Kluyveromyces lactis: one gene and its partner. The protein of the gene in region 1 interacts with the protein of each later gene in a biochemical or structural test. Links are inferred from orthologs where the notes say so. Each region holds a gene or a part of one and is shown on either strand. Other genes may lie near its edges. The genes, in order: MGE1 and MXR2.

Region 1 (3,008 bases):
CCATCTGCCAACGTCTGGATCACAGCAGTCAACCCAAAGTGCAGATTCGATGACTTCCAATCTAATATCCATGTACGATAGCGAACCAACAACAAGCAGCAGCACAAGCCTGGTAAACCATGGGAAAGAAAGTGAAATTATAGAGCACGATAGAGATGATAGCACAGATGAACTTGAGTCAGATATATGGCAAACTTACAAGATCCATGAACAAATTGATACGTTGGGAATATTGGGCGAAGGAACTGGAGGATCGGTCACGAAATGTAAGTTAAGGAACGGTTCAAAAATATTTGCATTGAAGACCATTGCCACGATAGAGAATGATGGCTCAGAGAAACAAATATTCAGAGAATTGCAATTCAACAAGAGTTGTAAGTCTGATTTCATAGTGAGGTATTACGGGATGTTTGCATGCGAAGAAACCTCGACAATTTTTATTGCGATGGAATATATGGGCGGAAGATCGCTAGATTCGGTGTACAAGCACCTTCTCTCTAAGGGGGGACGAATTGGTGAGAAGGTTCTGGGGAAGATAGCTGAGAGCGTACTTAGAGGACTATTTTATCTACACGAAAGAAAGATCATTCATAGAGATATTAAGCCACAGAACATATTGTTCAACGAAATAGGACAAATAAAGCTCTGCGATTTTGGAGTCAGTGGAGAGGCAGTGAACTCTCTTGCCACCACGTTTACAGGAACATCATACTACATGGCTCCAGAAAGGATACAGGGCCAGCCATACAGTGTTACCAGTGATGTATGGTCTTTGGGTCTCACACTATTGGAAGTTGCACAGGGACACTCACCATTTGATACGGATAAACTAGCAGCAAACATGCCCCCTATAGAACTTTTGATGCTTATCTTGACTTTCACACCTGAATTGAAAGATGAACCAGAACAAGGCATAGTATGGTCCAAATCCTTCAAATCGTTCCTTGATTACAGTCTGAAAAAAGATTCAAAGGATAGACCATCTCCAAGACAAATGCTACAACACCCCTGGATGGTGGGACAAACCAAGAAACACGTTAACATGAAGAAGTTTATTCAAACTTGTTGGGCGGATTGATTGCTAGCCCCTACTGGCCCACTAGATAGAACATGCAGGAACATGTATAGATAAATCATTTCTCAAATGGCTGCATGTCACGTGTTCCACAACATAAATCGGATCAAGTTTCAATTTTTTCATAGAGTTTGGTTTGAATTGAAAAAATGATCATGAAAGAGAGAAAGAACCGTATATAAGAAGACATTTAAGAAGAAAGAATTAGTAAAACAACCCAATACATCTTACATACCAACTGTCACTACCTCTTATTGACACTCAGTTGGATTTGAACTCACTTTGTTTTGCTAAATAACCACTGTTAATAGTGAGACTCAAGTCGACCAGAGAATATTTACTAACAGAATACAATAAAATATGAGACCATCAACCAGATTCTTGAGAAGCGTTACCAGAACTGTTCCAATCGGTTTCAGATCTACTACTGTGCCATTTGTATCTAGCACTTTGAGATCTAGTGCTGCAACCTCCAACCAGTTTTCTGCTAGGTTTTCCGGTGTTAGATTCTATGCTGATGAAGCCAAGAAGGAAGAACCTAAGGATGAGAACGATGCAGCTGCAGCTGAAGAAGACGCAAATTTGACTGAAGAGCAAAAAAAGATTAAAGATTTGGAAACCAAGTTGGATGCCAAGACTAAGGAAGCCTCTGAATTTAAGGACCGTTTGTTGAGATCAGTTGCTGATTTCAGAAATTTGCAAGAAGTTACCAAGAAGGATATCCAAAAGGCCAAGGATTTCGCTTTGCAAAAATTCGCCAAGGACTTGTTGGAATCCGTCGACAACTTTGGCCATGCTTTGAACGCTTTCAAACCAGAAACTCTGGAACAATCTCAAGAGCTTTCTGATCTATATACCGGTGTCAAGATGACCAGGGACGTTTTCGAAAAGACTTTGAAGAAGCACGGTATTGAACAACTAAATCCAATTGGCGAATCTTTTGATCCAAATAAGCACGAAGCTACTTTCGAATTGCCTCAACCAGACAAGGAACCAGGTACCGTTTTCCACGTTCAACAAATTGGTTACACTTTGAACGACAGAGTTATCAGACCAGCTAAGGTCGGTATTGTTAAGGACAATGAAAATTAGAAAATCTCTCAATAAAGAACCCCGAACCCAAAATCGATCTACTTCAAATGACCTTACCATGACTTATAATTTACGATAATGCTTGTTTTATGAACCTTCTAACTTTTTTTCCCCTCCTCACTCCATTTTTCTTTCATTCTGCATGATAACATCGATCAGCTTTTGAACGGAAAACATCTCTTTTTGTTCGCAGCAGGTTTGACTTTTATGTTCCCTCATAACGGTCATAATGGTCTCGCCACAATGACCCTACTTAATTCCCATGTAAATAAACTTGCACATATGTATATGAATTCTCTACCATGATCCAAAATGAAAGGACCTTTCTTTCTCTTATTAAAACGGTCTGTCATCCGTTAAGGTACGTCCGAGAGCATGAACGAAACGCATAAGTAAGAACATCCAACCCCTGCAGGCTCTACATCTTTAGTATACTCTGAACTCAATCTTCCATCAGCCACTCCACCCAAAACGGTATCTATATGAGCCCTCAAATCCTCAGAGGAAGACATATCAGTATCTACTGTTTACATTCTGGCTCTACGCCTAAGTCTACATGTAATGAAAAGAAAACAATAAGAGAACTGTCAAACTCCCCTTCCCCAGAAGATTCAAGGGGTATACAGTACCATAGCGAACTGCAGAAGCCGTAAACATCAAAAAGATGAGTTCGAACAATATGTGGCAGTTGATATATTGCGTCCTCTTTGGAATCCTACCGTTCCAAGTTCGCGTATTTCTTAATTAGGTTTTTTGTTTAAAGCTTAAAGGAATTTTTATAAAAACAATTGAAATCAAAAGAAATAGTTTGTTTATATATGGACTTATAATCAAACGTCTA
Region 2 (2,837 bases), on another chromosome or scaffold:
ACTCGTTCTTGATCTCCATAGCATATCACTAAAACATGCTGTCTCCAATCCGTTTCATTCAAATTGTGCCTCTTCATCGCATTTCTTAAAACCTTTTCACATGAATCCTCCTTTGAGGCACGTAATTGTTTCATAGGTTCTGAACTTGGAGCTGATGATACTCCAGCTCCGCCTGGAGTATTCGCCGATCCGGGTGTGGTGGCAATATGTGACGATGAAACATTTCTGGTGCTTGAAGATTGTGGTGGCAGCCCTGGATTGGAATTCGATCTGTATTTGGGTGATGATGGCGTGTGTGAAGAATGGTGTGGAGCTCTATCGAAGTAATCTTGCGAAGAAGGTTGATGTTGAAGTTGTTGAGAAGACTGAGAGGAACCTGAACCAGATCCACTGTTCCTCTTCACGATTTCCAACAAATCCAATCTGAGTTGCGCATAATTAGATTGGAATTCTTGTAACTTTTCATTTAACGTCTGGTGTAAGCCTTTCATAGTCAACACTAATTCTTGTTCCGGTGCTTGTTCTTCCGTGTCAACAAATTTGTTTATGCATGTCTTAAGCCTCACGGCACTAATGCTATCAGGACATAACTCCTTGCAATCGGCAAGTGTGATTTCAGATAACGTAGATCCAGTTATCTTGTTCTCTCGTATTCTATCTAGGATGAATGTATCTCCGTCCGTTAATCCAAGTTCTGCTTTGACTTTCTTGCAAACCTCCTCAGTTGACCATTCATTTGTACCGCTCATTATTTGTTTTTGTTTCTATGCCTGTTCTTAAGAGATGTAAAAACACAATTGAATCACTGGTTAGCCACTGATCAATATGCTTCTGTTGGCTCAATGATATGCTCCACAGACTGAGCTGTTCCCCGGATCTCCTTTCATCAACTTTCTGGTATCACTTGGTTTTATTCAAATAATCGATTAAGTTTAAATATAGATTTTCCCATATTGTCGGAAATCATAAAGAAATGACAAGGAACCCTGCGAATATTCTGACATAAGATTCCTGGGGAACGGGGTAATCCTGTTACTACATTCGCGCTAGAAGTATTTCGATGCAATCGTAACTTTGATTCATTTATTTACAGGACATACGTGTGGAAAATATACAACTATCTATCATTCCAACGGCCATGGTTTATACTCTTTCTTTCCAAATGTCATCGGAGGTACCTTTCCTTTCTTGGTTCTTCTGCCACTGCTCTTTGTGCCATTCCTGTACCTTCACGGGATCTTTACTATGGATCACACAAAACTTAAATTTCTCGAATTCTTTCAGACATTCGTTCATGTGGCCATGTCTGTAGTAATTTCTAAACTGACCTCCTAAACTGAAACATCCTGTTAACTGATCAAATGCATCAGTGCAAGACATTGTTGTTGGATAATTAGATGACATAGTGTTGAATATCGTTTACAGTCTATGATATTTTCTATTTGGTAAGTAGCTGTGGTAATGGTCAAAACTGGGCGGACTGGTTTGCTGCTTCCGTAATCAACCTCCTTCTTTCGTTTTGTAGATTGCTCTTTATTGACAAAGATGTTTAAGCTGTAAATTATAGAATTTTGGATTTTTTCAACTAGCTTTCTGCAAGAAGCCGATGAGCCATGCTATCGTAAAGAGAAAACAACTGGAAACTCGCATTTGTAATCACCATCGGATCTATTGTTCAGCTTTCATTATTTTGTTGATAGGTATAATTCTTAAAGTTTTACCACTCCATAATTGTTTCACACTTTTGATGCTCTCAAGAAGTTGTTCAAGGATTTTATCTTTAAACTTATCAAAGCAATTTTACAGAACAATGAATAGCACCGGTAAATGGAATCCGAGTTTGACTTCAGAACAGCTAAGAGTACTACGTGATAAGGGTACGGAGAGACCAAACACAGGAAATTACTTGCACAACAAACAAACAGGGATTTACTCATGTGCAAATTGCGATTTGCCTATTTATAAGAGTGAGACGAAGTTCGACTCAGGCTGCGGATGGCCTGCGTTTTATGATGCTATACCGGGATCTTTAACTTTTACTCGCGATGAATCGTTTGGGATGGTTCGTATAGAAATATGCTGCAGTAGATGCGGTGGTCATATGGGGCATGTGTTCGAAGGGGAGGGATGGCAGAAAATCTTGAATTTGCCAACTGACCAAAGACATTGTGTCAACAGTTGCAGTTTGAACTTCAAGGAAGGTTAGTGCTCACCAGATTAGGCAAATAGTTGTAGGTTTGCAATTATTTAGCTCACTTAGTTATATTAGGTGTACAATATTACACAATTAAAACAGATGGCTCTACGGTTTTTTACGCTCCGCCAGGAGATCGCATCAATTCTTAATTTTATTGTTATCGCTAAATGGATCATTGGGCTGAGCGGCTCCACCTCTAGATGTGTACGAAGGTATTGATGCCTCATCAGAAATGTAAGCTTCGTTGTCCTCTTGATCATCTTCATCACTGTCACGTTCATTCAAAGAAGCCATGTCTCCTTCTTCGGCTAATTGGTCAAATGCCATCAATGCATTGACCAACTCCTCGTTAGCATGGAGTAAAGCACCTAAAAGTTCACCACCGGTAATCAGTTGCAAATAACGTAGAACCTTCCTTCTCAATGCTCTTGCTTGAACGAATTTGGCCGTACACAGCTCACTGTCGGTGGACTTACTATGAGCTGGAATTGCCAACAAAGCATTCGATAGAGACACTGCGGTTTCTAAGGAGTCGCTAATCAATAGTTTAATCTTAGGAGCTTCCTTCTCAAGGTCAATTCTTGGAATCCCATACCGTTCATCAGCGGTGACAGCTCTTCGATCGGCAGTGTCACTTAAA

Evidence for each region.
Region 2: the proteins of MGE1 (region 1) and MXR2 form a complex in vitro, tested with the Saccharomyces cerevisiae proteins (2 studies listed by BioGRID). The link is inferred for Kluyveromyces lactis from reciprocal best matches to the Saccharomyces cerevisiae genes MGE1 and MXR2.

Annotation. Positions count from the first base shown.
Region 1 is NC_006040.1:623,672-626,679, forward strand, and holds MGE1 (mitochondrial nucleotide exchange factor MGE1), read left to right. Parts: upstream 1-1,435; coding exon 1,436-2,167; downstream 2,168-3,008. Other genes in the region: mitogen-activated protein kinase kinase MKK1, read left to right, coding at 1-1,078. UniProt on the Saccharomyces cerevisiae protein: Essential component of the PAM complex, a complex required for the translocation of transit peptide-containing proteins from the inner membrane into the mitochondrial matrix in an ATP-dependent manner.
Region 2 is NC_006039.1:103,724-106,560, reverse strand, and holds MXR2 (peptide-methionine (R)-S-oxide reductase), read left to right. Parts: upstream 1-1,606; coding exon 1,607-2,206; downstream 2,207-2,837. Other genes in the region: STE50 (Ste50p), read right to left, coding at 1-749; EMI1 (Emi1p), read right to left, coding at 1,144-1,404; LSB5 (Lsb5p), read right to left, coding at 2,336-2,837. UniProt on the Saccharomyces cerevisiae protein: Methionine-R-sulfoxide reductase which catalyzes the reduction of methionine sulfoxide (MetSO) to methionine in proteins. Plays a protective role against oxidative stress by restoring activity to proteins that have been inactivated by methionine oxidation.